Schizosaccharomyces pombe: one gene and its partner. Changing the gene in region 1 together with any one later gene gives a genetic interaction. Each region holds a gene or a part of one and is shown on either strand. Other genes may lie near its edges.

Region 1 (3,929 bases):
TGAACGGATGGAACCATGGCAAGATCAAGACGACGATATTTGTCAGGCGTTGATTAAAGCTACTGTTTTACGTAACTTGGGTCGCACAGACGAAGTTTTCCCTATCCTTCAAAAAATATGCGCTGTTACTCGTACAACCGAGACATGGGCTGTTGCTTTTGCTCATTATGAAATGGCGGTAGCGTTTTTTGAGAGCAATGGTTCTAAAAAAGAAGGATTGAAGCATTGTGATGCTTATCTGAGAAAAGCTCGTGATTTTGGTGGAGACAACGAATTTGAAAGTAGATTGATTATTCGTGTGCAACTTGCAAGGCATGTTGTTCGAAAATGTCTTCAATCAATGTCATGAGTTCTCGTTCCTTGCGTAACAAATTGGTTTCAAACACTTGTTTTCTTCAAAAATCTTCTCTCGAAAAATGAATGCATCAAATTAGTTACTATATTTTAATGTTTTTAAATAGACGAATTATGACTGCAATTACAAGCTGTTGTTCTTAATCTTTCAACTTATTTGTGCTTCTCGTCTGCAGCTTTTGCCATTAATCCAATTTTCAATATATAATTTACAATACGACTGGAATTAAGTAATCTGTATATAATGTAATCCATAACAGTATTTATTAAGATCCCATATCTAACACAAAACTTTACCAATATATATATCCATAGTTTTACCCAACAAGACCAGTATTTCTTCAAAGTTTTATCCTCTTCGAAGGCTTTTTATCTTCTGTATCTTCTAACTGTTCCATGTTTCGCCAAATCTCTTCCTCTTCTTCTTTTGCCGCTTCTAATTCCTCTTCTTTCTTAATTATTTCGGCATCTCTTTCATTAATAACAATAATACTGGTAGGAAGAGCTTTAATATATGCATTTGCTAGCGGTTTTCTATCAGCATCAAAAATCCTGACGTTTCTATCTAAACCAGTAATAGCAACTACATTACCAAGGCAATGAATTGAAGAAGGGGCACCCTTTACTCCTTGAAATCTTCCGATGACTTTTTTCTTTGAATGGTCAAAAATTGAGATTTGAGCACGCTTATCAGCAAAGTAAAGTAACCTAAATTTGGTCAATATGAGTGCTAGAAAGAAAAGAGAAAAAAATCTTTAAATGGCTTTGGAAATATTCAATTTATTTATTACCATAATGCCTTTGATTTGCAAAAAATCGATAAAACATACTTGATTGAAGGAAGCAAACCAACATGACTTAATGGTGAAGTAGAGACATCAAATGTGGAAACCGGGCGGCGGCCGTGTTTCGTATCATAAAAGCGTAACTATTTGTTGTTAAATAAAGGTTCAATACTGTGAATAATCAAAATATTATCAACTGCTTACCTGACCATAATGAGTAATCGTAGCAAAATGGAAGCACAGACTTTCATCGTCTTCGGACTTTCCGTCAATAACATTAATAATATCTTCCGTGAACACAATTCCAGTGATCCACACGCGCACTCTAAGATTCAGGGAGTCATTTTTTACATTTTTTCCCTGGAAAACTTTTACCACGTTTTCTGTTCGCCAAAGTTCTAGTTCATCAATGTTCGATTTGCACGTAGGATTGCAAGAATACAAACAAACATCGTTTTCTTTTCCTCCAGCAGCGATTATTCCTGGTATTCTTGGATGTAACTCAACAGCGGACAGGGGGCCATGTAATTGAAGTTTTCGAAGCTTCGAAGATTCAATGTGTCTAAACAACAAATTTCCATCACTTAAAGCAAGCATTAGCCAACCATTAGAGTATTTCATGGAAACTATGGAAGCAGTCTCTAATAAAGAGCTGTCCAATTGCCAAAGACTAGACAAAATAGGTGGTTCTTGGTTAACGTTCCAACATTCAATAGTACCATTTTTCCGAGCGACAAATACATTCTAAAATTAACAAGTTAATCAGTGTTTTTCGAAATATAAACACAGGATATCCTAGTAACGCGCAATCCATTTGATAATAGTAACGAAGAAACAAGCGTCAATAAAGTTGCTTCTTTTTAGTTCATAATGCGTTATCACAGAAATCTCAAAAATTCCGTACCATTTCATGCTTCAACATAAAAAGCACTCCTTTTTCTCGATCTAACTCTCCAAATTTCTGAATAACTGGTGCTTCTGACTCGGGGTTTGAGGTGTCAGTACCTTTTTTTATTTCTATGACTATAATCACCTTTATTAGTACCGACGAACTTGTGAGTGGATTTCTTACATTTTAATTGCCCGATTTCATCACCAAGAAGCAATTTCATCTTGAAATACTACAACTTTTGTCGTATATCGCAAGAATCGATTTGGTTGTTGAAATGGGTAATGAGAAAAACTTTCACCACGAAGGTAGGAACGTGTCCTTTTAAAGGGCAAATTTTAAAACCATTTTAAAAAACCTTACAAGGTAAAATAAAAAAAAGAATGAATTGTCAATTTAATTTAGGAAATGTCATTTATTGAATGGATAATTTAGCTTATCGATAAAAAAAGGTTGTAAACGGACTAATCGCTCACATGTACTTGAATATAAGAAGAATTGTAATATATCATTTTCTATAGAATAAGTGCTCGTCAAAGGAAACTGAGTTTTGCAGCTGATTCATTTAATTGAAAGTTTACAACGTTAGCGTGTCAAGTTGCCTTATCAATGAATGGGATTTAAATAATTTCTTAAACAGTTATTTTTTTTATAGGAATAAAGCAAGGTGGAAAAACATAGTTTGGTCAGTAAGTATACGAGAAGAAGTTTGAACTATGTAACAGCTTCAAATGTTTATCGATAATGAAGTTAGAGCGCTCTACGAAATAGAATTGAATAAACAATAAAATTACCAAGTGTTGTAAAATACTTCCCACTCAAATACAATGTTCAGTAACTTCCATAATATGTGTAAACTAGCGAGAACGGAAGGTATCTTGAAGAGCTTATTTTAATGGGAAAAACAGTTCGGTTTGTTTAGAAGTTAAAAGTTTTATCATCTAACAATTTGGTGTAATACACTGACATGCACGTTGTATTTCTCCATTAAGTACATCCACTTGTCCTTTGCGTTACTGAAGGGTTTTACCAAAAACCGAGTTCCAACCTTTAAATCTTGGAATAAATGCTTTGGTTAGATCAATACCGTCCAAAGACGCTTGCATCTTTGGACTATCACAAACAACTCTCAGAACGTCTTATTTCCTTGTCGTCTACTAATGAGTTTCCCCATTTGTTAGTGTATGGGCCCAGCGGAGCAGGAAAAAAAACTCGGGTGGTTGCTATATTACGAGAATTGTATGGACCTGGCTCAGAGAAGGTATGTTTCTTCATAGTCTGACTTTCATTTAATTAAATATACATGCTCACAATGAATGTAGTTGAAAATCGATCAAAGAACTTTCTTGACTCCTAGTAGTAAAAAATTACAGATCAATATTGTATCAAGTCTTCATCATTTGGAAATTACGCCCAGCGATGTCGGAAATTACGACCGAGTCATTATGCAGGAGCTTTTAAAAGATGTGGCTCAATCTGCACAAGTTGACTTACAAGCTAAAAAGATATTTAAAGGTATGTCTTCACTGTAAAGTGAAATCAATATGGAATTTTTGTGCTCTTTTTTGTTCCTAGGTGTCTCATGTTATATTCTGGTTGGTGAACTTTCAATTCTTTTCCTTATTTTTATCTGCGCTCGTACTAACATGCTCCTTAGTCGTTGTAATCAATGTGGCTGACGAATTAACTAGAGACGCTCAAGCGGCTCTTCGTCGTACCATGGAAAAATATTCCAATAACATTCGTCTGATCTTAATTGCCAATTCTACGTCGAAAATTATTGAGCCTATTCGATCTCGTACGTTAATGGTTCGTGTTGCAGCCCCTACGCCAGAGGAAATTATCCTGGTAATGTCTAAAATCTTGACAGCCCAAGGCCTTGAAGCTCCGGATTCTCTGCT
Region 2 (3,929 bases), 1.2 Mb from region 1:
CAAATGAATTAGGTTTGCTTACAACTTGAGGATCGTCTTATACTTTCAGTATTGCCAATAATTTACAGTTACAATGATACTTAAAGCTTGCGTTTGTTTAGAGCCGAATATATATATATATATACACGAAAGGCTTTTTAGAACCACCTCGTCATAAATGTTTCTTTACTAGGCTCGCTAATTTCCATCTGTGTTTTTTTTTCACGCTAGCAAACTATGCTATTGCAATTAGTTCATTCTTAACGTCCTAATTCATCTAGTACATGTCATTTTAACTAAAAGAATTTTTCCTGAAAGAAAATTGGTTCTTTCATTTGAATATCATTCTTTCCAAAAAAAATGTAGAAATACAAATAAGATTATAAATTGGCAAAGACGCGATTGGACTTTAATTAAATACCCATCTACAGCCAATAATTAAAAAACAATAATAATTGTAATAAAAAAAAAGAATTTTTCAAGAGTTGTTCATCACTTCATATTTTTTCTTCGAATGTTAATAGAACAGCAACTTCTATTTATAAGATTACTTATAGTTTGTTAATTATTCCTCTCTGTTAAATTGGCAGACATCAGGAGAAGAGACGCAGCAGACTCAATTTGTTATACTTTCCTTATTAACATTTTTTTATTTTTTATTTTATTTTATTTTTATTCAAAAATTCTTTCTAATTTTTTTATTCTTACTGTTCGTCTTTCGTTCTTAAGTGCCGTCATGCATGTTTCTCAATTAGAATTTCAAATCTAAATGCTTTTTTTCAAAACAAGTAATTCATTGATGAGCCTTTTATCTTTACTAATAGTTCTATAGTCTACCTAAAACAAAAAAATAACCTATTGAAAAGCCTCGATTGTACACAACCAAATTTAATAAAAATTGGATTGCAAAAAGGCTTTCTCATTACTCAAAACAATATCTTTGAATTGCAAACTTTCAATTTTACATTTCTGACTGCAAGTTATCCATCAAGTTAAAAGAGCTCGCCCACAAACCCTGGTGTAACTACAAAACCTTTAACTTACCGCTTGCACTGTACGTATATCCAGAATGGCTAAAAAGAATAAAGCTCGGTAAGACATACATGCTTAATTTAATGCGCATTTTTAACATTTATTTTTCAGTTTGCTTGTAAAATTATTGTCCACCGCTGGCACTGGATTTTTCTACGTTCGTTCACGTCCAAAAGCTGCTCCTAAGCTTGCTTTTATAAAATATGATCCCAAGTAAGTTATTATGGATTTTCTAAAGCCTCATTTAAGAAGCTAATGAATGAACCCATAGAATTCACAAAAGAGTACTTTTCGAAGAATCCAAAATGAAATAAAAACTTCTTCCATTTCAATGATAGTCTGAAAATGAAATGCTAAATTATGACCGATCAATCTACCTTTTTTCTTCAAAAACTTTATGGATGTGCATTAATTATGTATTAGCTTCCCAACCTACATCTTATACGACATAATTCTAAACAGCTGCGTGAACATAAAGACCCTTATATTATTCTGTCATATCTATAATTCCTATTTTTATTATTATTATTTAAGAGAAGGACTGAGATGTCAAATTTTCAAAGTAATAAGAATGTTCCTTTCACCTGTACCAATTGCTAGCCGAATTAGAACTATAGTAGTAACATCGTTTGTGTTTACTACTCTTGTAAGCACTGTAGCTCAGATCATTCGATTCTAAAATTCTCAAGCAATATTTTTAATACAAAATGGTTGTACTATTTAGAAATTATGCAAAACATGGCAAAGCATTGAATTGCTAAAACCAATCGTCGTTTAATGTCTTCGTAACATTTAATTATTTGTTTTCTATTAGCTTATACGATGCAATTATTTTTATTCCCTCGTTCCAATTCTTAGTGTAAATTTTTGTCTACCTACATTTTCTATGTGGAGCAAACTACTACACTTTTCAACGCTTTGATCACGATGCCAAAGAAAGCTGCATTGGACGAGCTTAAATGGAAGGAAGTCAAGCTTCCTGACCACCTAGACGACTTCGATGGGTTTATGGGCTTGGAAGAGATTGAAGGTGTGGATATCAAATATCAGCCAAAAGGTGCTATGAAAGAAGTAATTTATGAGGTATAATTGTTTATTATCTAATTTATTAACAAACAGTTACCAGAAGTTCATGAAAAAAAAGATAAAAAGCCGGAAAAGCGAAAAAAAGATCAAAAAGAAGCTAGTGAAAAAAAGAAAAAGGGAAAACGTACTTCCCCTACTATTGAAATGACTTCACTAGGATCAAAGGTGACTTCTAAAAACTATAATGAATTCTCTACATTAGAAGAAGAGGATGAACACAATTCTCATGGTGTGGACGTCTCTGCTTGGGCACACTTTTCACTTTCACCGGAAATGCTTGGCTCGTTATCTAAAGCTGGCTTTTCAAAACCGATGCCAATTCAATCATTGGTAATTCCTGAAGCTTCTATTGGATTTGATATCATTGGAAAGGCAGATACCGGTTCAGGAAAAACTTTAGCTTTTGGCATTCCCATTTTAGAGCATTGTCTTCGCAATGTAGATGCAAAATACGTACAGGCTCTAGTTGTTGCTCCTACCAGAGAACTTGCTCATCAAATTTGCCAACACTTTGAACTTATCAAGCCAAGTCCTAACATTCGTGTTATGTCTATAACCGGTGGATTAGCAGTACAGAAGCAGCAGAGGCTTCTTAACAAGCACCCTCACGTTGTGGTTGCAACTCCGGGTCGCTTGTGGTCTGTCATCAACGAGAACAACCTTACAGGAAACTTTAAGAAAATCAAGTGTTTGGTATTAGATGAAGCAGATCGTTTACTGCAAAAAAGTCATTTTGAAGAATTGAGCAAACTACTTGAAATTTTAGGAAATCCCATGCATACTCAGCGTCAGACTTTTATCTTTTCTGCAACTTTCGATGAGGGTTTACAGCAACGCCTTAAAAAGAATATGAAAGGCAATATAACTGAGAAATACAACAGCCCGATGGGTATGTTCAATTAGAAATATTTTACTTTCTCACTTACTAACGACTGCATAGAAAATATGTTGAAGGAGGTTCGTTTCTTTGGCAAACCCAAATTTTTGGATGCCAATCCTCAAAGTGCAGTGGCAAGCCGCGTATTAGAAGGGCTCATAGAGTGTGCTCCAGCTGAAAAAGACTTGTATCTTTATTATTTGATCATGCGTTATCCTGGAAAAACCATGGTTTTTGCCAATGGTATTGAGGATATTAAGAGAATCACTCCTTTTCTAAATGAGTTAAAAGTTCCATCCTATCCTCTACATGCTCAATTAGATCAGAAAAAAAGACTTCAATCTCTTGAAAAGTAAGTTATTTTTATTTATATGTTACTAACTAACAAGGTTCAAAAATAATCCTAAAGGAGTCCTTGTTTGCACTGATGTGGCCGCCCGTGGTATTGATATTCCTAGTGTTACGCACGTAATTCATTATCATGTTCCTCATACAGCTGATATGTATGTTCATAGAAGCGGTCGTACCGCTCGCGCTAACGAAGATGGCGTTTCAATTTTAATGTGTGGTCCTAAAGAACTGTCACAGCTGAAACGACTATGTTATCGGTTGAAAAAGAAAATCGAGACCTTTATTAATTTTCCTGTGGATATGTCAATATTGGACATTTTAAAAACGAGGGTCGTCTTAGCACATAAAATTGTAAATCTCACTAGAAAAGACGGAAGAGTGGGACGTGAGGAAGCTTGGTTAAAATCGATGGCTCAGGAATTGGGAGTTGAAAGTTCTGATGATGAGGATCCGGATTTGCCAAAAAAATCTGAATCTAGTAAGAATAAGAAACAGATAGCGCATCTTCGCTCAGAGCTTGCTCCCTTATTACACGAAAAAATAAGAACAGGATTTTCTGGTAGATACTTGACGAGCGGTCTTGTAAATATGGCTGAAAAATTAG

Evidence for each region.
Region 2: of wdr74 (region 1) and mak5, a mutation in one rescues a mutant of the other (synthetic rescue), as found in Schizosaccharomyces pombe (one large-scale study listed by BioGRID).

Annotation. Positions count from the first base shown.
Region 1 is NC_003423.3:1,535,221-1,539,149, reverse strand, and holds wdr74 (ribosome biogenesis protein wdr74), read right to left. Parts: upstream 2,328-3,929; 5' UTR 2,252-2,327; coding exon 2,212-2,251; exon of another isoform or gene 2,163-2,211; coding exon 2,044-2,162; exon of another isoform or gene 1,968-2,043; intron 1,884-1,967; coding exon 1,344-1,883; intron 1,283-1,343; coding exon 1,185-1,282; intron 1,063-1,184; coding exon 696-1,062; 3' UTR 583-695; downstream 1-582. Other genes in the region: SPOM_SPBC83.16C (uncharacterized protein), read left to right, coding at 1-349; DNA replication factor C complex subunit Rfc5, read left to right, coding at 3,095-3,289, 3,351-3,543, 3,686-3,929. UniProt on the Schizosaccharomyces pombe protein: Involved in the biogenesis of the 60S ribosomal subunit.
Region 2 is NC_003423.3:2,698,369-2,702,297, reverse strand, and holds the start of mak5 (ATP-dependent RNA helicase Mak5), read left to right. Parts: upstream 1-1,901; 5' UTR 1,902-1,938; coding exon 1,939-2,094; exon of another isoform or gene 2,095-2,130; coding exon 2,131-2,986; intron 2,987-3,037; coding exon 3,038-3,326; exon of another isoform or gene 3,327-3,363; coding exon 3,364-3,929. Other genes in the region: mrpl39 (mitochondrial ribosomal protein subunit bL33m), read left to right, coding at 1,049-1,071, 1,123-1,224, 1,283-1,325. UniProt on the Schizosaccharomyces pombe protein: ATP-binding RNA helicase involved in the biogenesis of 60S ribosomal subunits and is required for the normal formation of 25S and 5.8S rRNAs.